3 linked regions of the Drosophila melanogaster genome follow. Changing the gene in region 3 together with the main gene of any one other region gives a genetic interaction. Each region holds a gene or a part of one and is shown on either strand. Other genes may lie near its edges.

Region 1 (8,401 bases), on a different chromosome or scaffold from region 3:
CGTTTGGTCGGTGCCGCTTAAACGCCGTTTTAGCCAAGTTAGGTGAAAAATGCCAAGGGAGTGAGGAGTGGAGACCGAACTGTCAACTGTGATCAAAATCAATTGTTTGCCATTTGCCAAACCAAATTGACTGAGCCAAGTCAGTGCGAGTCACACAAAAATGCTGACAAAATTATACCATAACCCATGAAATGTCAGTGTCAATAATTTTTGTAATTATGAGAGCATTGAGCTTGAGTACATAAAAAAAAAGTTATATATTTAAAAAAATCATTATTTTAGTTGGCTGCCATTGGAGAAGCCCCCAAAAAAGGCAAACAAATATAATAAAAAATTATTGCAACGTAAGTTTTGATTTGAACAAAAGGCGTATACAATTGGATGAGCTCAAGAGTGTTTTAGAGTGAAAATGTGAGGATCATTGTTCGCAACCAACTAACAGAGGTTCGTCTCTAACATTTTTCAAAAAAATTACATAACTTTTAAATTTGATTTCAGTTTATTTGTAAGTGAGAAGCCTATTTTCTAACCATAAATTCTGCACGTTAAGAGTATTTCCTTTCATATCGTATCTACAAAAATCAATCCAACACACCTGTTTCATCTACCGTTAACACCGTTAAGCCCCGCCCCATTTTCTTATCGAAAATATAGCCCTTTTTCACGCTCTATTTATAGCATTCACATTCTTTCTTTTTTTTTGCACTTTTTAGCTGGCATATCCTTTCGACTTCCGCCATTCGAGGCTCGCCCAATTTCCGTTTCGAGTTTAATTAATTTAATAAACAAATTCTTTTCGCTCTAAAAACTCTCAAGTGTATCGATACGATGCGTTTCTTTTTTTCCTTCGTTAAATAAATAATAACCAAAAAAAAAAAAAACCAAAAAGTAGGAGGAGAAAAGTTATTGCCATAGTTTTTTTATTATACTTGTGTGTTTACCTTTCTGGTGGCTTGATCGATAGGCATCTGCAATTAAAAAGAGAAGAAGAAGAGACAAGTGAGGCAAAATTGTTAAACGTTTTGTGTAAGCTTTAATACGAAAAACAAGTACTGCAACATAACGGAAGGAAACACGGCTTAAATTCGGGGCACAAATGCTGAAAGGGAAGTTTTTCATTGACGGGTTCGTTCTGACGGACTTGCATTTTGGCGGGCAAGCGGGTGTGAAAATGCACACGCCCCGAGAACCCCCCTTTCCACCCCCCCTGGACCCCTTTATCCAGCCCACTGGCCAAAAACAATTTGTAATTATCCACAGAGAGCGCTGCCTTCAGCGGTTTCGCATTTCCCCTTTCGCTCGCTCTCCCAACTTGTTTCAATTTAGCGCAAAACTTTTTCAACCTAATAATAGGTTTAACCGCATTTTTAACCGTTCCTCATGTTCGGTCCGGTTCGGTTTTCAAAACCGGGAATCGTACTTAGACTGGGTCTCCTTATTTCTGTTCTGGCTCTCTGTACAACTTTTCATTGAGAAAAATGTAACTAGTTTTTCATAGCAACGGAATACAATTTAATCCAATAATCCAATAGTTTAATCCAATACAAATGATATTACTACCATTTCTATTTTCGTTAATTTCGATTTGACTTATTTGGCTGGATTTACTTTTCAAAATATATGTTATCAATAAGACACAAACCTTACTTTTCTAGCTATTAACATAGTTTAAAAAAAAAAAAAAACTAATAAAAATTACGTGAATCTAAATTTTTAAACCCGATATCCAAGAAGATCTCAATTTTTGCCTGTGTACTCAGTTCTCTGAACAAAGCGCATGTGCACTTTGGAGCACACTCCATACATGTGGCTCAGCCCTTTTCCATAATTAACTAGATGGTTTTCCATCGACTTCATTGTGGTCAGCGGCCAGTTCAACCCGTTCTTCACTGCAACCGAGAACTGTAAACACAAAAACCCCAGGACTCTACATTGGCTTAAAAAAATAAGAACAGAACAGAACCAAAACCAAAAAAAGAAGGGATATTGAAATACAAGGTTGTAATCGTTTCGACTGTTGATGTCTCAATGCATGGGCAGTTCAGTTAGTAAATGTTTTTCAAAATCTTTCAGGCAGGAGATGTTTAAATATCCATGAAATATTTGGATCTCCTGGGGATCAATCGGAATATTAGCCTTTAATTGTGTTGATCTTTTAAGCCTTTTTGTATCTAATCTAAGCCATTCGATCTAATCACAATTTATAAATATCTGCATATTTCTGTATAAGTCTGCATCATTTGACGTAACTCTTTAAGTCTTTTGGCTTAAGTTGCAACTATAAGGAAGTATTTATTTTAGAGACACAAATATTTCAGTCGCCTTCATTTGAACAAATCGGCGAAAATTGGCTAGCTCGCCAAACTTTCTGTAACCAAGGACAATGGTTTTATTTTAAACCATTAAAAACTTTAGACCCACTAGCTCCTAGATCCCCCTCAAAAGATTTAAAAAAAAAAAACACGATACCCATTTCTACTGAACTTCGTTTTTGCTTGTCGTTTTTTCCACTCGAACGGAAATGAGCTGACAGCGCACCGCACACGTCGATTGCAGAAAAACATCGGATAAAACAGGAGGAAAAGTTGTGCAAGGTGGAAAACTGTTTTACCAACTATTGTTAGAGGCGTTCAAAAGAATTACGCAGCTTTCGGTTAGTTAGCAAGGGGTCACCGGGGAGCGTTACGTTTGCATTGCGTATTTCCGCTAAATGTCATCGGAAAAGGCAAACGGCGAAATGCGAAACGAAAGTTTTTTGATTGCCCGTGTTAATCGATATCGATGCACAAACTATTTGCATTGCAACCGTTGCAAGAATATGCAAGAAGTTGGGGGCGGCCGCGGCAGGGGGTGGAAGTTGAGTGCGTAAGTTGGCTAAAGCGGAAACAGGAAATGAGAAAATTTTGCAGAGCAAACCCCGAACTGGAAATGCAACTAACTGGGCACATGCACTTTGCGAAATCATTGGATAGCGTTAAGAAATTTATTTTAAAATTGTAACTAACATTTAATCGTATTCAAAAGCAATTAAATCCCAATCCAATTCTTATATAAAATCCTTACAAGATTATTCTATTTACTGTAAATCTAAGCAAAAACTCCCTTTGCAAAATATTCGCCTGCACAGCACAGATCAGTGAAATAATCAAATGAAGTCTTGAAATAACGAAAAACCCCCAATTGCGTGTGGAACTGCCCCCAATGCTTTTGCTTCGGTTTCGTACCTGGCCGTGGTGCAGTCCCTGTAGAGGATGTCGAAGTCCTTGCAGCAGAGCAACTTGCAGCGATTGACGCCCGGCTGGATGGCGCCCAAGCCGCGTAATATGCGCACCTGTTCCACATTGCAGACGAGCGGTACGATGTCAAGGCGCTTTAGTTTGGTATAAACCGTATGCAGACCGCCGACCAAGTGCTTCAGGAAGAGCTCGAAGGCCTGCGGCAGGCAGAGCATCGTTTCGTTGCTAATTATGAATGCGGCGACCTTCTGACCCCGGTACTCCACCAGCTTGCACTCATTGGCACTGGGATCCGAGGTGGAGATCGGCGGCGGTGAGTTGTACGACCTTGGCGGCACATGGTGATGGGCGGCGGCCATCAGTTCCAAGGGGGAGGCATGGTGCATCATCTGCAGGGAGTTGAGGAGCCCCAGCGAATGGGGCGGCAGTCCATGGGGCATTCTGGGCGGTAGGCCCGTCGGCAGTCCGTTGCCCGATGGCATTCCATGTGGCGGGGGGCTGAGCTGATGGTGTTGCTGCTGCTGCTGTTGCTGCTGCTGTTGTTGCTGCTGTTGCTGCATCTGCTGCATCATGGAGTGGTTGAGGGAGCTCACCGGACTGACGGCACTGGGATGGCGACTTGGTGAACTGGCCGGTGAGCAACTGGATCCTCGTCCTGTGTGCGAGCTCCGTCCATTTGGACGATCCTCGTTGGCTCCACGCGAACTGTTGCTACCGTCGCGTCCATTGTGCTGCTGCTGTTGCTGCTGGGCTGCTGCGGCTGCCGCTGCTGCGGCTGCCTGCTGCTGCTGCTGGTGATGCATCAACATGGCGGTGGTGTTCATATTGCCCGCGGCTCTTTCAATACCACTATTAATATTGTTATTTATTGCGCCCGCTTTATTGTTGTTATTTTCACTCTGTTCACTTGTCACAGAATCCATACTTCATCATGGCCGACACTTTTGTTTATTTACTTTTTAATCGATTCGTTAATTTGACGTTTTTTCTATCGTGACAAAAATTTGACACAAAGTAAGGGAGAAATAGAAAATAGATGGTGAGAGGAAGATAAATAATTAATGAACTCTTAATTCATTTTTAATTATTTATTAGGCTTCTATATGCAAATTCTAAGTGAGCGTGTCTCGTATATTCCTATCCGCTTATTATTGGCTTTACATTTTTAATACTTCTGTAAGTTTTATAACATCAAATTTAAATGCAGACCTTCAAAAAATTTACAAACGATTTAGGATTTGTATTAGGCTCAGCTATGCTCCTATTTATTAAAATCTATTTTTGAGCCAGTTTAGTTAGTTATATGGTAGCTACAAGTTTATATTGCTAAATATTTTTTGTAAATTAATATCCTAACAAACATTTTACTTACAAAGAAATATAGAGAACTAACAGAAAATAGAAAAGTTTCCTTTCAGACATTTAAAGTCCGATTATCTTCTAATACCCCCCATAAATAATCCTTTATCAACAGAACTATTGCTTTGCAAACTTTGCTTTAATTAAGTTTTGGGAAAAACAAGGCAATGAAGCTAATTTGGATCCTTACTGCCAATTTGCATAAATATACCTATTGTCAGCTTTATTTGAATAATTCGATATAGAACATAGATTTACCTTTAAGGAGGTCTAAAAGTAATTTATAAACTCAACATCACTGACACAAGACACTCGCGCACTTTGCTTTTTGAATTTCGCTGTGAAATATATACTCTGAATATTTCAAGTTATTTATTCCGATTGCCCGCTTGTGTTAATCGAGTTCGAATAACCGTTTTCGTACTGGAATTTTGGAAACCGGAGCTGTGTCCGTTTTCGAGTACCGTACCGACGGATTGTCACTCAGAGATTGAGAGATGGCAGCTACTCCGCTGCGACGGCGACGGTGGCGTCGCTGCCTCTGCTTCTTCGCCTTCGACTGGTTCCTCTTCCCCCTCTCGTTCGGAGAAATCAACGAAACGAATTGCATTCGAATGGGAATCGACTGAGAGCGAGACGGCGCGAGGCGACGACTGCGAGTGAGCGAGTGAGCGGGCGCTAACGAGTGCTATTTTTTTAGCCCACCCACACACACGTACGTACGTACGTACACACGAAGCGCTACCGTTATGTACTGAGAGAAATGCGCGCGCAAAAGTTTTATTGCATTACCTTCTCTTGCGAATGACAAATTCGTAATGAAAGGCGAGTTTCAATTCGATTCCTTTCGGATTTTCGTGGCAGCGACGCCGGCAGCGCGGTCGGCCGAGACGAGTGTGCTTGTATGTGTGTGTCTGTGCCTGTGAGAGCGAGCTGGTGTATCTGTATCTGCGATTGTGCAAAACCAGAATACGAATACGAGTACGAATACGAATGTCTGTTGCCCGTCCACGTCTCGCATTACACCAATACCAGGCCAAAAAGGGGAGTGGTATGTGCGATTGATCGGTGTGTTTGCATCTGTGTATATTTCTGTGTGCAACCCCGAAAATACAATGACAAACGTAATCGCTCTCTCTCTCTTGCATTCGTTTTATTTATTTTTTCAATTCGTTTGTGCGTGTTGTGTTCTTCAAATCCTCCCGCTCTCTCTCTTTGGAAAAAAAAACGTTTTTCATTTCAATTTCATTTCGTTTCAGTCTGAGCCCTCTCTCTCACACCATCTCGCCATCTCTGTCGCACGCTCAGGTGGGCTGCAACCAATAAACACGAGCGAGCGAGAAAGCAGCATATTTGCATAGCCAGTCGTACATGTTTGCGCTCTCGCTCGCCCCCATGGGCGACGCCTTATATAAACAAATGACAATTGTTTTGGCATTTTGTGTTGCAAAGTAAATTATAATAAATGCATTGCCAGAGAAGAAAAGTAAAAAAAAATAGCTTTACTTCGAGTTTGCGCAGCTGTCTTTGACAAAAAGCATTTTAATTTCAATTAAAAGTAAATGACAAACTTTCAACGAATTATACTTTTCGGGGCAGTGTTGCTATCTCTTTCCGTCCCAAGCTTTGATTTTTTTTGTCAACCGTTTTCCGTTTCCCATTCGTTTCCATTCGAGTCCCGTTTATTTGTATTTCTTTTTGTGTTGCTGATTCGGAGGAGAGCAGCACTATGGCAGGGCATCTTTCTTCCACTTACACATATTGCGATAATGGGGTTTTTTTTCGCCTGAGGGGCGTTCGTTTTTCGGGTTCTTATAAATAGCATTGCTTATAAATTCTGGCATCGCACCTTTGCCACCTCTATATGTTTATGTACAATGTATCTGAGAGCTCGGTCATTTTTCTATTATTTGTCTTCGTTTCGCCTTCTGCGATTCTTCTCCATAACGATTGCCATTCCGTCGCCGAACCAATCGCATTCCGTTCTCTCCATTTGAGAGTTCCATGTACATATTTCTTTCTATATGGGAATGGAATACGTCTTTATGTATTGTGTTTGCACATGACGTATGAATTTTTCTTGTTCGTTTCGTTTGGGGCTTTTCTTTTGTGGATTTCCTCACCCACTGTCTTTTAGGTGACAGCAACCATTTAATATTAAATTGATTGCAAATGTGGATTTCCAACAGCTTTTAGAAAATATTTTCGGGCTTTAAAGAAGAATTTAAAACACAATAATTATTGTAATGTAAATATTTTATTTTTACATCGGTTTGTTTCATTAAAAAATAGTTATAAGATTATATTAGATATGAAAATTAATATGTAACGCTACTTTTTTTCTAAACTGTGACATTTTAGGCTATTTTTTCTTTTACCATTTCCTTATGTCATATGAATTTCATTTAATTATGACATATACATGAATCGCTGGCTTTAAATTCGAATAAGTACATTAAATTTACCAAAAATGACATGCAGAATTAAAAAGTATTCATTCAAACAAATTTGTTTTCCCCCCATAAATGGACAACAAAAAGGTACTGCCTCTATCATCCAAGTGTCAAAATATGTCATAGCAACCAACTATCGTCAGTAAGAAATGAGTTCTACAACATGCAACTTTTTCATGGTGTCGCAACTGTGGGCGGGAAGTTTGATTTTTCGCAACAAACAGCTCGCTTTGAACTCTGGTTTTTCTCTTTAATAAATGCAACTGATCTAACTATTAAGTAAAATTGTATTTTTTATTAACCACAAGCAAGCGCAAAGATGAGTTTATATTCTAAAAAAAAGGAGGGTGATTAATTTCTATTAGTTTGGATTACAAATTTGGACTAGGAGTCAATTTGAAAGTCGTTATATCAATAATACTTCTGGACTTTGAAGCGACAGTTACTGTTCCATAACTTCGGATTATCAGCTTTGCCTTCACCACATATATAGAGTATTCTCTGGATGTGTCGAGATTTGTATTTTTAAACGACGACTGGATGGCAAAAGTTCAGTGCGCTCGCAGCTATTATGTGGATTATCTGCCTCTTGCTGGTGCCCCTTGTGGCGGCCAGTTCCAATACAAGACTTCTAAATGGCATCCTAAGTCATGTGGACAAGGAAGCCAATCCCTGTGAGAACTACTACAACCACGCCTGCGGCCAGTACAACATGCGTCACATCGACGACACCTTCTTCGACATTATACAAATGCTGGATCACCAGGTTAACCAGAACTTGGTGAAACTAATGGACGAGCTGGAAATGAGTTCTCAATTGCCGGACTTTAATGTATCTAGTGTAGATGGCAAGGTCCTTCGTTACTACCTTAGTTGTCGTGGAGCGCCGCGGAATATGGATAGTTTAAGCCAGTATCTGAAAGTGATTTCCCCCGGCGAAGGACTCACATGGCCTCAATTCATTCCGGACGGTAGTTCTTGGCCCCAGGAGAATTTCAAATGGCTCAAGGCACTGGCTCATCTGCATCGCTACGGTCTAACTAACGTGTTTTTTAACCTTGAAGTCGTGTCAAACCCACGAAATGCCAGCGAGTACATGGTAGAATTAAATACACCCACTTTTGGAGAAGAATCTCAACTGCCGAACAGTTTTATTGAAATTCTATCCGTTCTCTATATCATAAAGGTTCCTTCCAGTGAAATCATTACTCTGGCGCGAAAAATGCGAACGCTTGAATTGTTGCTTAAAACGATGATCAATCCGATCGACACACTGAATAATAGATACATTAGTATCCGCGATTTTCAGATGGAAACCGGTCACAACTGGCAGCGTTTCTTTGAGATTTTAAT
Region 2 (8,396 bases), on a different chromosome or scaffold from region 3:
GTAATGTACATACATATGTATTATAATCGAAAAAATTCTAGAATTCTTCTCAAACAAAGTCAGTTATAACTGAATCAATATCCAGTTTTAGTAATGCCAGATAAATTACGTTCCCATCCGCTCTTCAATGGGCATTGCACGCCTCGAGGGTTCCGCTGAATCAGACAAATGGTGATGACTGGGGCATCTGTGAGGTACGGCAGGCCATTCAGATGCCTGCCCAGAATTCCTGTATAATGCGCGGCAATCTTGATTTTGAATATCTTGCAACTGCAACTGCGACTGCACTGCACTCCACTTGCAATGGCCACTTGGTGGTTGGAGGCATCAGAGCATGACAAGTCAGCAGCGCCAAGTTTCCGCCGTAACGACTCAAGTCGAGTTGAGTCGATCAATCTCCGATGTCTTAATTACTCAATTCGGGAGCGGGAAACGCGCCGAGCCGCTGCCTTTCTCCGCGGAGCCTTTCTAATAGAGTGGATTGCATTGGAGCTGTGCATTTGATTGATTTACCATCTCGTCCGGAGCAGCAAACAGCCGTTTGACATCGCGGCTCCTTCTGCCTTCACGATCTCGTTTCCCAGCTCCAGCTGCCATATCCATGCCCTTACTCGGAGCACTTCTGTTCTGGCCAAGAGTTGGCAGCTTTAAGGCAGCTTTCTTTAACCAAAGATACTAATACTTTATGTATCTTATTAAAGGTAGCAGATACTTTGTAAGGAGGATCAAGGGATTCAGTTCATTAAGTTCTCTTCACTTATTCCATTGGAATTAGAGCTCTTAATGAATAATGATTTAAATGATTGTGAATAGTGCCATCTCACTTATAACCTAGCCATCTTTAACCAACTAGTTGTTTTTGGGTGAAAAGTATCTGGGCAAGGGTGTGCAAAGATTCGGTTAGGAAACTCATCTTGCTGCTCGCGATTCCGACTTCTCCGCCTGTCGCATTCGGTTCGCACAAGTGCAGTAGCAAAAATGTTAACAATTTTTCAGCGCACAATGCTTGAACAGTCAGCGCCTGGTGGTTTGGGTCGGGTTGTCGGTTAGAATGGGTCTGGAACCCCCTCTCCGCTGCCCACGGAGGCCGCGTTGAGGACGCCCCTGTCTGCCGCCTGGCGCTGTCGAAGTCTTGTCTGGCCGTCGCATATGAACGGCTTTTAATTTCATATTTTTTATATGGCCATACTTGGTGTTTCGTATCGCCAGTGCGCCTTTTTGTCTCATCTCTGGGGCTTTTGCTGTGCCGCCGCTGCTTAATAACACGATGACTACACGAAACCGCGGAGCCAAAAACTCGAACCTCAAATTCGAGTTGGGATCCGCGGATCTGGGGATCTGGGGATCTGGGGATCGGGGATCGGCGGATCTGCGGATAGAGTGCGGATGGAGTTGTAATGGCCGCGTATCCGTGGCTGCTGCCGCTTTACAAGCGAAATAATCGCCATCATTTTAACTAATGACCCGCTCGCATCTGGTTTTTATTCGTATTTGTATACTACTTATTTTATTTTGTTTGGCGGCGATGCCATACGCTTGGCGCTTTGTGCAGATTCATTCAATTTGAGACGAGACCGCTGCCGAAGCTGCTCCTAACTTAATAAACACGGCTCTTTGGATGGGATCTCGGAGCTCTCGGCTCTGGGATGTGTTGGTGTGTTGCTGTGGGGCTGCCAGGTTTCCGAGGAATGCCAAATGTTGTCTCGATTTCTTTTACTTTTCCTTTTTCCTCTTTGCTCTTTTTGTGAGCAGGTAGAACTTGAAATATTTGCGCATCTGCAGGAGCAGCCAAACACTTGAGTGGACTACGATTTCGACTCCAGATCTGCGACTCCAGTCCAGTCCAGTGCAGCTCCGACTCCGAATCCGGATTTCTTGCAGTGTCATTCCACTTAACTTGCCTTCTTTCACTTCGAGCGGATCTTCTTCATTTCAACTTCGCGCGAATTGGTCGAGTTTTAACTTCTCCTGCCCATTTTCGCAAGCGGTTGCACCTTTCCAGCTGAAGCATGAGCTGCATTTACACTGTCATCATCGTCATGAACCATCGCTATCATGATCGTCATCTCTGTTCGTTGTCTCCTTCACCATTACGTCCAGGCCAAGATCCATACCCATACCAATACTCATACCCATAACCAAGCCCAAACCCATCGTCATCGTCGGCGGTCAGTTTAATGTGGCCAAAAAGCGACGACCGCAACAAACAGCAGAAATCGAGAACGCTTCACTGGGTGCCGCCACCGCTGCCGCAGATCGGCACGGATCAATGAAATGGAAACGCTCCTGTGCGACCCCCCCACGGCATCCAACTCGTCCACCTCACCCACTGCACCCACTCTCCGGAGGATGATATCCGCTTACCCGGCCCCGATCGGGTTACCAGCCCATCCAGGGCCCAGACCCCAGACCCGTCTAACTCCCAACTCCAATGGCTAATTGAAGCGGTCCATGGTCGATAACTTACCGATTCTTGGCCGCAGCAGCCCGATCCCGCTGGCGGCGGTTCTTGAACCAGTTGCCCACTTGCGTGGGATTCAGGCCGGTGGCCTTGGCCAGCTCCCGCTTCTTGGTGGGATTCGGGTAGGGATCCTGTAGGTACCATTCGCGCAGTAGGCTCCGCGTGCGCTCCTTGAAGCAGTGCGTCTTCTGCTCGCCATCCCAGATCGTCGGCGGCAGGGGGAACTTCTTTCGCACCCGATACTTGTCCACGGGGCCTGCAAGTTTCAATTGCAATTGGATTAATTAAAATAATTTTAATTTTTGTCTAATTTTACAGTAGTTTTGTTTGAACAAATGCTGGCAATAGCTTTCTGAAATTTTCATTAGGGAGTTTGAAACTCCTCGCTCTAAAAACAATTGTCTTGATTGCTACAATTCATTAGAGATTTTTTTACATCAACTATTTGTGTACTGATTATTCGATTTCATTCAAGTTTTTTCTAAAAGGATCGTTTTAAACAGCGAGTTTAAAGTGTGTCTATTATATATTCAAAAACAATTGTATTGCTTTATTTGTTACTTGGATTGTAAATATCATCGTAAAATATCAAAGAAATATTACAAGTAACAATTATGAAAAATATTTGTAAAACTGGTTTGAACATCTTAAAGTAAAATATACGAGCGTAAATTTCTGAATATGTTATTACATAATCATTACATAATTAAGCACTGAAAAACTGGTCTATACCCAATACATACAGTTAGAGAATTAGCTAAATATCAAAAATTGTTCAAACACTTTGAATCGATGTTCAGTGACGACTTTTTAAGTATCGAATTTAAAGTAAGCTCTGTTTTAGTCATTTAACTGAGTCAATAATACAATTAGAATTATAAATAATCTGTTAATCCTTCTTATTACTATGATCGGATTTTCTAAAACACGTTTAGTATTTATTCGACCGCTTTTCAATGCATTTGAAATAACAAATATGTGTAATCAATATGCTTAATGAAAACATTTCGTGGTGTTATAGTAAAACTTAAACTTGTATTTCTACGTTTGTGTTTGAAATTCCCTCATATTTTTTTCAGCATTTTATCACGACATCTATCTTGGAAGTGAATGCCTTACTCACCCAGTGATCGACCGCGCAGCTTCTCGGCCTCAATGTAGTGGGCCTCCAGCCACATGGCCTGCAGTTTGCCGTAGGACGCCTTAGTAAACTTATGATTCTCTATTATTGCATAAAGTTCCCTGAAAAGAGGTGGTCCAGTGTGAGTGTTAGTATCCGGAGTTGAGCTTAAAGTTAATGCGCTGAATTTGCCATCACGATTTCAACCCCATCAACCACCCCTGGGTCCTTTGGACTTTTGGGACACTTGGGACTTCCCGCTGCGAAAGCCATCCCCGCCTCCGAGTTTCTACACCCCTCGACACTCGACGCTCGACAGGCGTCCATATGTATTTTGAAACAATTTCATAAGCATTTATTGTCGTCACTGGTGCTGACAGCTCGGTTGAGTACGTCAAATGGTTTTAATTGGAAGTCGTTTATTTACCAAGTCAAAGCAATCAAATCACTTGCATAGCATCGCCAGATCCGTAAGAGTATATGCACGAACAGGCCATATATGTACTGTATCTGGACATTGATTGATTATACTCGAATTACACGGCCGTGTGCTCGAGCTGCAGTCAGATGAGATGCAAAACCTGATGCAACCGTTTATAGTTGTGATTGCCTGAGCCGATCGGATAATTGTCGATATCGATTGCCAGGGGACCTGTTTTGCCCACTTCGAGACGCGGCAAATGGCCGATTCGTCTAGGCGAAGATCACAAGGCTAAGTCTATCTCGGAGATACCATGGGTAAGCTAATCTTTCGTCATCGTTTGCGAGGGCCTATTGCAAAATTCACCATTCGAGCGAATTGTTTCCGGTTGTCTTAGAAGCCCCCGTGAAATGTGAGAACTTAGAATGTCGTGGCGACGGAAGCCGAAACCCCGATCCTGGCGTGGAACCTATTGTTCGGTCGGTGTTTTATTAATCAAGCCTGCTCCACTTGGCTTTGGGCAGCAGCGAGTTCTTTAATTAGTAAATTAATGCCATTGTTTATTAATTTAGCGGCTCATTGTGCCCTCATTAAGCTGTCGCTGTGCAAAACTATCGGATGTCGGTTGTCGGGGTTAATCAGGACAGGAGGCTGGGACTCTGGCTGACTGGTTTTCTGTTTTTTTTTTTGGTTTTTGGTTTTCTGATCTTCCCAGAGAGTGTCATTCAAGCAGGGGGCTTTTGTGTGTGGCGGATTCCTACCTGAAGTTGCCCACATGGTAGGCGACCACTGCGCGGGCACGGAGCACCGCCTCGCAGTTGAGGATCTCGTGCATGTTGGGCAGGGCCACCGGCAGGCTCCAGAGGAAGCGGGCCAACCGCTCGATGTCGCCGGAGTCCTCGAGCGTCTTGCAAACGATCTCCACCTGGGCGGCGGAGAAGGCCAGCGTTGGAACGGCCAGGATGGGGCTGGGTGCTATAATCTGGTGGTGCGTGGGCGAGAAGCTCTCTGAGGGCGGCTGTTTGCCCTCCGTCGGTCCAACGGCCATTTTATTCGTTGAATCCACTGTGAACAAATTGGCATACTATTCTCCACCGGAACGAAGCAATCTTGCTGGGCACTACACTGGTTTAGTCACTAATTCAATTCCTTGGCTGTTATTCGTTTTTTTTTTTTTTTTTTTTGATGTGTTCACTAGCACTTGGGTGGCTTGATCCGACTCGATTCAGTCCGCCTCGATAAGGTTTTACTGATTGGTTTGGGGTTAGCACTTTGCACGCGCGATCGAGGGCATCTGGCCGTCTGGATGTGTGAGGTGGCCACCGGTTCGACTGGCGTACGAATCCAAATGATTGCCAATGAGCCAGCTCATGAATGCGATACCCGTGCCCGGACCACGAACGGAGCGCAACTGCTGCTCCACATCGAGGCGATAAAGGGGGCCTTTGGCAATGGATATAACCGATGCGGTTCGGTGTGGTGCGATACGATCCAGCGAGCGAGAGAGCGACCAACCAAACGGCCAACCGAGCGCGCAAAAAATACGTCAAATAATGGTCTTGTAACTGAGCTGCCCACTAGGCGACGGGAACGGCACAGAAGCTATACACGCTATAGAGGCTATAGAAGCTATGGCAATGGAGCTCAATCGGCAGAGGCAGCAGCAGCGGCAGTAGCGGCAGTAGCAGCACAACAATGACGCGCCACAGATACAGATACTCTGGCTGGCGGCTCGGCTCAGCTCTCCGGCTGCCACTGCTACTGCTTGCCAGCTGCAGACACGGATACAGATAAAGATACAGCTACAGATACAGATACAGCTGCGGACACAGATACGGGCCGAGATATGGAAACAGAAACGAGTTGGCACCAATACCAGGCCACAACCAGTTTGCCGCACACACAGATAAAGATACGCGAACAGATGCGGATACGGATACTACGACGCACCACCATACCATAGGCACCACTACCACGGGGTGGGCGTGGTCGTCACTGCTCGTTGACGTACGTACGTCTCGCTCTGGCACACGGCCATGCAATGGCGCCACTCTCGACAGCTGTCTCCTTTTCTCCTTTATGCGGTGGTGGCATCGCCTTCATGGGTCTCGTTTAAATGAATCGTACATAAGAGTCGCACGTACACTGGTGCACAGCAACTAATACTGTTGCAGTTCCAGTTCCAGGATAACAACGGCTCGTTGAATAGGGGTTACGAACGTTGTGGCGGCAGTAGTAGGGCTGGGTAACGCCACCGAGGGGGTGAGCTGCAGGCACGGCAGCTCAGATATTGATAAAGAAATCAAATAAAACAACCCGGCAGAACGCAGCAGCCGGGCAGCCGAGCACAGCCGCACAGTGGGGCGAGATCAGCTGGATTATGTTTATATGCCGTGGAAAATTCGAGGGTCTTTATTTACTAAAGATATTCTGTCAAGTCATTGATCACAAGCACGATACAAGTTGGAAGAAAGAATTGCCAGAGTCAAGATCGCACGGTTATATGAATGTTTTTCAATATATCAAGTTGTTTATACACACGCACTTCAGTAAATGCTTATTTTGGCCTTGTAGATTTTCATAAACCGTAACATTTATAGGTCATGTTGTTAAAAACGCTTTCTTTTGTATCTGTATATTTCTTATAAACCTAATTCGCTTATTTGTTAACAACATAACTTAAGAGAGGTAGCACATACGAAAAAAAAGTTACAAATTAACTGATCTAACTTAGTCGAAACTTGGATCCGCTTTTCATTGATTTCGCATCACGGTAAGTGAAGCATATTGTATAAGTGTAGCAAAATGTTTGACACCATGTGGTCTGGCAACCTCTGCCGCCGCTCCTTCCTCTGCCCTTCTCTTCCCATGCCATTTCCCCCTTTCTGAAGCCCCTACTCTCGCTCACTGTAAGCCATATCCTTGTGCCAGGACGAACCTCCAGCCCTCTCATCCGCCATTTATATGCACATATATATGACCAAGGAGAAAATCACGTTTTCATTTTGGCAAAGGGAACTTTTGATTATGCCCGTCGAATGGGGCAAAATATTCACGAGCAAAAGTTTTTATTGTGGCGCTGTCAGTAGTGTTGGTTGTCGGGTCTTGGTGCTTCATCATGCTCCGTGTTTGACAGGATCCGGAAATAGCCAGGAGGAGGAGGGGATGGCTTGGAGGTGGGCGGTGTTCGGCGCGGACAGGGCACACGCTAATGTATCGTTCGCGCTTTTGTCCGGAGTGTTAACAGATTAGTTGTTTACATGCCACAAGTAAATGAGTTTTCCAAAAGTGTAGCCGCGGGCTTCAAACGTACCGCCACCCCGTGAGACAGCCCACCACCCCCCGGCCACCCTAACCAATACAACCAATGTAAAATCTCATGCACACATACTTACACACATACACATACATATATGCATGTACATCGTGAAAACACAAGCACACGAACATCGCCATTGCTACCTCGCTCTCGCTCTACCTCTTGTCTCTTTCCCTCCCCAACCCAATCCCCTACCAAACTAACCCCCTCCCCCCTCTCAACCAACCTTGTTAAATCTGAACGATGACTTTTTGAGTAGTTGGTTGAACATTTTGGACAATTGCATTACGTGAACGACAAACGCTGCGCGTATGGATGTGAATGGGTAAGTGACGTCGGCCACACAGATATATACATACATACTGAGATACGGATACAGATACAGGTTCGCACCAAGATACAGCCTGGCAGATGCTGGATGATAGCGCACGCTCCGCTACAGCTCCAGCACCAGCTCCCACATGGCCACATTATGTGCTGCCACGGCCGATGTCCTCTGAATACGCTCATTATAGTATCGATCACCTTTCATGCGCCACAATTGAGGATGGAGTAAGAGATACAATCGCATCATGGCCAAGCCGCTGCAGATACATGCTGAAATGCAAATGTAATACCGAAAGGGCCGCGGGGCACACATTTTGAGCAGCGATATAAGTTCAAAACATGGGAGTAGAAAAATTACAGCTGTTAAGGACGTAAAAGGAATATATAGGAATATAGGTAGATATTTTAAAGATATGTATTTTAAAGCCACTTTCGAAAGACCATGAAACTGAAAACGAAATTAACATAACTTTGTTGTAAATTATTAGAAAATCATGTTTGAGCTCATCTTAAATAAAATCAGAAATATTACGTAATAACTCTCAAAATAGAAATGAAAGGAATTTATTCCTTATGACTACATTTGAGATAGGTAAGGGAATATTCAAATGAAGGACTGCATTTCGATGTTTTATGAACGGCCAATAAACATTTGAGTGATTTTCGAAAGGGAGAACGTCGAGTAGCTCATGTTTCCGGGGATCAATCAGTTGAACAAACATCTTCGAATCGGCGTGCCCCAGCTATT
Region 3 (8,049 bases):
GCGGTATTAGTGCAGGGACTCCGAAATTGGATTGCTTTTCAAAAATGTGATTTGCAGTGTGACAGGATACACAATTTACAAAAACATCTTGCCAGTGGGATTAATAATGTAATTGCTGCACAAATCCGATGGGAAGAAAGACAAAGCCCTGGAAACGGGAACTGGAGATGGACCCTCTAGGGGACTGGTCCATCCATTCAGGGGCAGGGACTGATTTTCCTCGCATGCGAAAATGGACAGAACAGCGGGGTGAGTCTACAAAGACCACGGATACAATGCCAATATGCGTCGGTTCCCGGCAGCCGCTAAAGAGGCTCATTTGGCATTTTTGAGTGCATTGTGTGTGTTTGTATTTACTCGACTTCGGCTTTCAGAGCCATTAATTGTTTCCATTTGTAGCGACTTTACACGAAACGGTCGTCGACAACGAACACACACTTCAAGATCATTAAAGCTGGAAAATTATTGTATTGATTCACGGGCACTACAATAGGGTGACCTGACAGAGAGTACTTAACAGCTCGACGGGCCCGGGATGAGGTTACGTTTAGAAAAGGGATTTGAGGAATGCCTATAATCTACTCCGCAATTCGTAAATTATTGTTTGACTCATCACCGTCTTGAAAGTCTATGCCGATCCCAATTGTCACCGATGATCACCTCTACCCATTGTGCCACTATAATTGGCAGCATGTGCGAGATTTGGAGTCAGCTACTGAACAATGCCATTCCATTCAGCTGTATGCTTTGGGCTTACCCAGACATTGAGCTGTTTTCACACCAATAACAAATCTTCGTGACACATGTTTAGCAATACAAAAAAATTAGCGCGATGTCTTCATACAAGTATTTTGAAATGTTTCCTTAATCTTCTCGGGTCGAGCTATGAAATAGGTATACCTAGTGATTTTGCAGTGGAAAATTATAATAAATTGGAAATACTATAATTATTCACCTCATCCTATATCAGTAAAAGAGCTGTTCTTTAAGTCTTAATATAACTGGATAAAACATTTAGGTTTTTTAGTTTCCGATATCTAATCGCGTATACGGACGAACATTCTGATCAAGAATGTAAATACTTTATTGGTTCGGAAAATCCACCTTCTTCGTGTTACACACTTTTTCTCTAAAAGTGAATTGTATATCTATAAACTAAGGTTCGTCGTACGGTAAAACCATTTCTGTTGTTATTAAAAAGCTTTTGATAATATAACGAATAACAAGCTCTTAATTTATAATACTTGCGGTGTATTAATAGATGTTAGAAATAAATAAAGTGAACTATGAATACAAAAATGTCCTTGGACATTTTCTGAACGCCAAACTACTCTCGGTAATGTTTTTAGAAACAGAACACCAAAGTCGATTTGAAGTTTATAGTAGCCCCCAACATAGGGCAGAATCAAAATACATATCTGTTATCTATCCTAACTGGTATTTAGTGCAAGAAACTGCGATTACACACTAAATTTGCAAAGCTTATGGATCGGTTAGACTCAATAAAATCTATTAATGGTGTATTCATATTTAGTTTATGTAAAGACGGTCTGTGTGTATAAATTTTAATCTATTGGTGAATGTGATATAATAGTATTATAATCGGGGCTATCTGAAATCGAGTGAAAGCGGGAGGGGTTTAGCTATGCGTTATTTATTAAAACGTACATTCATCATCGGTTAAATGGTAGTAAGTTGTGGCGAAGTATGAAGATGTCGAATGGGGATGTGACGCTGTGCTGGCTTCCACGGCTTCCATAGTAGGGGAAGGTTTCCCAGCAATACCGCCTAGTCCGCTACCACCAGCGGTACCCAAACAGGGTAAATTTCTCATTGCAATCACATTGTCTATAAAAAAGAAAATCAAAGGAGTAAAATTCGTATCAAGAAGTCAGTTTGTACTTGGAATTCATTTATAATAATAGTGGAATAGATCTTTAAATTTGAACCAACTTTGAACTTGCTTAAGTGTTTATAAAAATGTAACATATTTTAAGTACTAGTACTTGTAGAGTAAAAGGGTATACTAGATTCGTTCAAAAGTGTGTAACAGGTAGAAGGAAGCGTTTCGACCACATAAAGTATATATATTTTTGATCAGGATCAAAGCTAAGTCATTCTGGCCATGTCCGTCCGTATGAACGTCCAGATCTCATACAGAGGCATACAGAATACAGAATACCCACTCAAACGCACTAAAACCGCCCTAAACTGCCACACCCACACTTTCAAACCATTTTTAAATATTTTCTCATTTTATTCCCGCATATATATTTGCATTCCGTTTGCATTCCCACTAGCGAAGTGAAGGGTATCTGATAGTCGGAACTCGACTAAAGCATTCTCTTTTGTTTTATTTATTCTCTTTGTAATCTATCTATAATCTGAAATCTACTGCAAAAGTTGCCGAACACTCTGCAGATTTTTTGTCCTAGTCTCTAAAGAACATGCATTATTAAACACTCTGAATTCGGGAACTAAAATACTGCAAATTTTAAATTAGACCTGTGTTTGATCGAGAAACTCTACTATAACATTTTCTCTTATTTCAGTTAAGAAGTTGAGCCAGATTGCATAGGAATTAGAATTATTTCATTACATTGTTAGTTACATATTTTCTTACATATATCAGTTATATGTATTAATTAAATTCGGTATACTCTACTTTTTTTGGCAATATAAAATTTCAGGTCATAGTTCGATTCGAATTATTTTTTGTAATATATTATACCTGCAACGAATTGAAAAATCAGGATTACCTAATTGTTTTAATTAAACTGAAACCCAAAAACATAAGCTATGTATTTGGGTTATCATTTTATTGCGAGATAAAAGTGCAAAAAAATGTATTAAAAGTAATCAAACTAATTTCGATTTCAGCAGTAAGCCGCATAGTTTTAAACCTTGCAGGAAAAGACTTCGCAACTTGCGTGCAGAAGGTAGTCGTGAAGAATACAAACGGATAAATCATAGCTAGGTATACAACCAAATGGTTAAAGAATTCAACTAGAATATCACTTTTGACCTAAGCTATTACTTAAAAGAACTAGTTTAAAAAGTTCCCAGTATGAACGAATATATACCATAGACTACTTGGGCCGTTTATGGGGCTTTTAGAAGGAGGCGCTTAATCTTTTTCAGTTAGCGTTATGAGCTAAAACAGGAGAAAGAGAGCTATAGTCCGGTTTATTGACTATCAAATACCCGTAATTGGGCTGCATGTGTGAACGAGAAATTGCAATCTTTTGGCTCTTATAGTTCCTAAGAACTCGACGTCCATGCAGACGGACATGGCTAGACGGACATGGCTAGATTGACCGATTGACCATGATCAAGAATATATATACTTTAAATTTAAAAAATCTAATAACCCTTTAATCTATGAGTAACGAGTATACAAATTTGTATAAAACGAAAGAGTCAGCTAGTATGAAGTACTCAATAATCATATACGCGCGGGATAGCATGAGATACGCCCGTAGGAACGCCATTGATCATTAAACGCCTTTGCGTTGTAATTTACAATGTGAGTGAGTGACAATGGTTTAATATAAAATTAAGCTGCGTATGCATTACTGGAATTTGCATAATTCCTACTTATTTCGCTTCCAAAGGTCTCGACGTCAATACTGACGGACAGACATGCCAACGGTCATCGGAAAATCGACTAGCCGGGAACTCTTCCTTCCACTAACTACTTTAAATACAAATTAGCAACAAGCTACGGGTATAATACAAATATAGGTTTTTCGAATTATAAGAGTCACGGCGAAGATTTGAATATCTTTGATTTGGACAATTTATACGGAGTATAAAGCCGTCTTACTCTCGGGAGTTTGAGTTTGAGAGAAGAGTTCGCAAACGATTCAGTTCAGAAGCTTTTTATCTATTGGTAAACTGCGCCAAAAGAGACCAACAGCCGAACGAAACTGCACTCGCCTAGTAGGACCGGATCAACTGCCCATGGGCAGCATTAACATATGTGTTGGCTAAGACTCATATATATTTATAAGAGGGTCGGATAAAGACGATGATGCCAATCAAGAAATTTAAAAAATTCACTTACCCTTGTGAGCCATGTCTTCTAAAGACGGCAGGCGCTCTATCAATGTTCCCGCTGACCATGGGGGAACCACGGTGCCTATAGCAGTTGGAGTTGGTTGCAATGTAAACATAGTTGGATCTCAGTTTTTATTACATGCACTGCTCATGAAAGCTTTAGCCAAGAGACTGCTGTGTTCAGCCAAACGCACGCCGTGCGAACTCTTGCAGGGCGAGTCAAGCAAGAGTTAAGAGTAAATTTGCGCAGATGGTGAGAATGACGTCCTGCAGTGATCAAAAAACCTATTGTTGATCGCGCCGTGAGGACCTAAGAGTTACGAATTCGGAAACACAAATATAACTGAGCAGCCGCTTTTGTTTTAGTTCACTTGTTCATTTTTCGAACGCCACTTTTGATTGCACTCATGTTAGCATCATATTTGTACTGCACGTAACACGTATTATTCCCGGGTCTACCGATTGCTAACTTAGCCGGTAATTTCATTTGATATAAAGATTAATACGCACGGTGAATCGAACAACCTTTCTTAAACTTCGCGACACGGCGGCGGAACAGTATTTACCTTAGAAGCGCAACACGAAATAATAATGTCACGACCTGCCTACCCGGATCCGTTTCAGAAACAGACTAGGCCGACCCTCGGCTGGCCAGCACCCCCCTGCGCAAAAGGCTGGGTTTGTTGCCACGGAACCGCGTGCGATTGGCAAAGACCAGCATGGCTGGTCCACTCACCACCATTTGCTATAGGCTAGCCCCATGATTGGTTGTTGAAGCACACCAGTTGTCCCTCTCGCACCCGTGTAAGGTTAGTTGGCGGAAGATGAAAGCGATTCGGCACGGTGCAGTTCTGCAGCTGCGTTGTGTCGTTAAGCATATCGTGGCAACGGAATCTGAAAATAAAGGAAGAACCAACTCTAGACGGACCAGCAGCACATAATGGAATGGTTTGGTCCTGAACAGACATGAAAGTGCTGGTCTGGAACTGGATGTTGTTCCTTCCAGCAAGAAACTGTGTGTAAACGGTGCAGCGCCTGCCGCTTTCACCGCCTTTCGAGAAGTCGCCCAGTGCCACACCCCCCCCCCCCCCAGCAATTACACACATGTTGCATTCCATTTGAATTCAAGCTGGCCAGACAAGTTGCCAGCAGCACACTCGTCCAATGGAATTGTTTCATTCCGATACAATAAGCGCTTCACATTTCCGTTAACTACCCGCACGTTTCCGCTTCGGCAGTGCGAGCCTACACACACAGCCATATCGAGGGGAGCTGGGTGTGGGCGTACGGTTGTTTAGTAAAATGTCGACAAGCCTAAGCACGGTCACACCCACCAGCCACCATCCCATAAGCTGTCGTCACATGTGGAGGCTGGGTGGGCCCCAAAGAGGAAGTTCCTGTCCTGCTTTTGCGCCGCACAGCGAGAGAACGAGTTGCCAATAGCCTGAAAGGGACGGCCAGTGTTATGGCTAAAAGGCCATGTTTCAAAATCCTCTAGAGAAATATTAAAAAACTATAGCGCACCTACACGACTGTATGGGATAATGTCGATTTAAGTGCAATTCACAAAATTCAACAGCAATATCCGGCCAATTTTTCTGTTTCCAATACAATTGGGCTCTCCAATGCGAAGAGTTCTTCTCACACGGTTTATAACGTCCTTATGACTTCTGAAAAGTGAAATGTAATAATAATGCATATTACTTCTAAGTCACTTCCAGAATGTTTTTAATGTACCCTTGCAATAGTTCTACATTGTATTTATAATATTTAATTTTGTTCTGTCGAAATTTGTAGCAAATCTGAAAGAATTGGGGTTGAAATATTTGACATATTTTAAAAACATTAGCAATCACTAAACAATTTAACCAAGCCCGTTGACATTTTTATGAATAAAATGCACGCACGATCGATATCTGAATATATGTGAGAATGTTAGGCGCGCAACTGTTCTAAATACTTAACTTACTGGGCGTTTCATTGACTATAAAATGTTTGAACTTACTTTCGCACATGTAATTTTTATTATTACAGGTAAGACTGAATCATTTTCATTTGATCCGATTGCCATATCCCTTTATAATATTCAAGATTTAATATGCACAGATTACATCATAAAACGCCTAAAGGTGGAGGAAACAAATGTTTTTATTAGGCTACATGGTAGCACATGAAAGTATGTCCCCCGCAGGAAGCTGAATCAGCCCTGCTATCATCATATTATCTTCGCACTGGTGCTGAGGATGGAACGCAGCCCAAGCAATCGCCACGTGGCACGTGCCAACGACACGGCACATGCTCGTGGAGCAAAAAGTTGTTCCGTTTCGGCTTAGTCTGCTTCAGATGCAGACCGCCTCCGAGGGTTTCGACACCCATATATTAATAATAGCAAGAATCGCCAATAAAAAACTCTTCGTTTGGAGATTGGCTAGGTCGTCGATTCAGTAAGTGATCGAGATCTGGAATACATGTACTTACATATATATGCTGTTAACGGGATGGAAGTCTGGGTAGGCGGGTATCAATAATACATTTGCGGGCAAAATGTCTCCAAGGGTATATTAAGATATAGGCACTATAGAGTTCTTTCTGACTGTTTTGTGAGTACCGCGATAACAAACATAGCATATGAGTAGAATCGGACAGATGGCTGGGTGGGCGAAAAGATTAGCTACAATAGTTATATAAAAGCATATGTATGTATTTACTTAATTCTCAATTCGCTCATTTGAGTACAAAATCTTATCTATCTGTTACCACCGTCAACGAAAATATCTGATATGAAATGTATTAAGTGGCCCTGTTAACAATATAACTGCCGCCTTTCCTTTTGCATATCTAGTAACGGGAACCTAAGAGTCGAGGAACTCAGCTATAGTATAGACTCTTGCTTAAAACTGACGTTTTTGGCCAAACAAGCTTTTTTCGGCTTAACGCGTAATGTTTTAATGAAAACGCGGCCCATAACGAGCTTTAGTATTTAGCTTATACAATTAAGAAGAAAGAAGGCTAATAGCTTCCCACTCACCAAAGAAACGACATACCACCTCTCCCATTTCTTCCACCACCACCAATTTAGATTTAAGATGATGAAAAATACCCAATCCAGATGGCTATTACATACAGCCAGTGTGTGTGCGGCAACAGTTGCTTTTGTGCTGACATAAAAAAGCGTCGTTCTTCTTATCGTCTGTCCGCAAGACTTCACACGGCCACGCAATGGTATTTAGGGGTGGGGAACGAGAAAAGGGGCGTCTAGCTGTTATATCGCCAAAGTTCGTAGAAAATTCAATAAGGACCTCCGCAAGTTAGTCCACAATCTGTCACAAGACTCAGTTTCTTGAGAAGAGTTTTAATTTGAACAAGGAAGGTCAAAACACCCTAGGTATAAAAAGTCAAGTCAAGCTATCCTTTTACAAAAAAAAAAAAGAGTTAAAGAATCTACGTAATATGTTATTTAATTTGTAAGTTTTAAAAAATATAAATGAAAGATTTTTATTTGGTTTTCGACTTGAAAAAATGCATTCATTTGAGAGCAGGGACTTTTGGCTCGTGATCGTAACCCTGAATATGTATAGACTATAGGGTCGACCATGTAATTTAAGCAGTTACTAAATGATTTACTGCTGATCTTCAATGTGACATTGACCATGAAATATAGATATATTTTTCACGAAATTTGCTTAATCCGTAATAAAACGCTACAATTATCACTTGAAATTACTAGCTAGCACGAACGTATAAAAGGTCCCCCGCTGGGAATTCAAATAACGAGCCATTAAACAATTAAGGCAGCCCCAGACACGGCTCACTGAAAACCGAACCATACCCGGCCTGGAGATGACCAGCGAAGCATTTGGCCAACCAACCAAATACAAACATGGAAAAGGCTTTTGGAAAGGGCCCAAGGGGAATCCCTAGAAGGCAAGCTTTTGGTGTGGGTGCTTCACGCTCACGGGGGGTTCACATACGCCCTTTCTGAAAGAGGCA

Evidence for each region. Genes that interact genetically often act in the same process or in processes that back each other up.
Region 1: of ey (region 3) and dac, changing one enhances a phenotype caused by changing the other (phenotypic enhancement), as found in Drosophila melanogaster (2 studies listed by BioGRID).
Region 2: of ey (region 3) and Optix, changing one enhances a phenotype caused by changing the other (phenotypic enhancement), as found in Drosophila melanogaster (one study listed by BioGRID).

The regions. Positions count from the first base shown.
Region 1 is NT_033779.5:16,480,584-16,488,984, forward strand, and holds the start of dac (dachshund), read right to left. Parts: upstream 5,416-8,401; 5' UTR 4,854-5,415; intron 4,225-4,853; 5' UTR 4,160-4,224; coding exon 3,225-4,159; intron 969-3,224; coding exon 942-968; intron 1-941. Other genes in the region: Nepl8 (Neprilysin-like 8), read left to right, coding at 7,620-8,401.
Region 2 is NT_033778.4:8,028,612-8,037,007, reverse strand, and holds the start of Optix (optix), read right to left. Parts: upstream 5,416-8,396; 5' UTR 5,051-5,415; coding exon 4,764-5,050; intron 3,704-4,763; coding exon 3,585-3,703; intron 2,718-3,584; coding exon 2,468-2,717; intron 1-2,467. UniProt on the Drosophila melanogaster protein: May be involved in head or eye development; development of the clypeolabrum and several head sensory organs.
Region 3 is NC_004353.4:701,291-709,339, reverse strand, and holds the start of ey (eyeless), read right to left. Parts: upstream 4,690-8,049; 5' UTR 4,176-4,689; coding exon 4,067-4,175; intron 1,912-4,066; exon of another isoform or gene 1,849-1,911; coding exon 1,669-1,848; intron 1-1,668. UniProt on the Drosophila melanogaster protein: Involved in eye morphogenesis.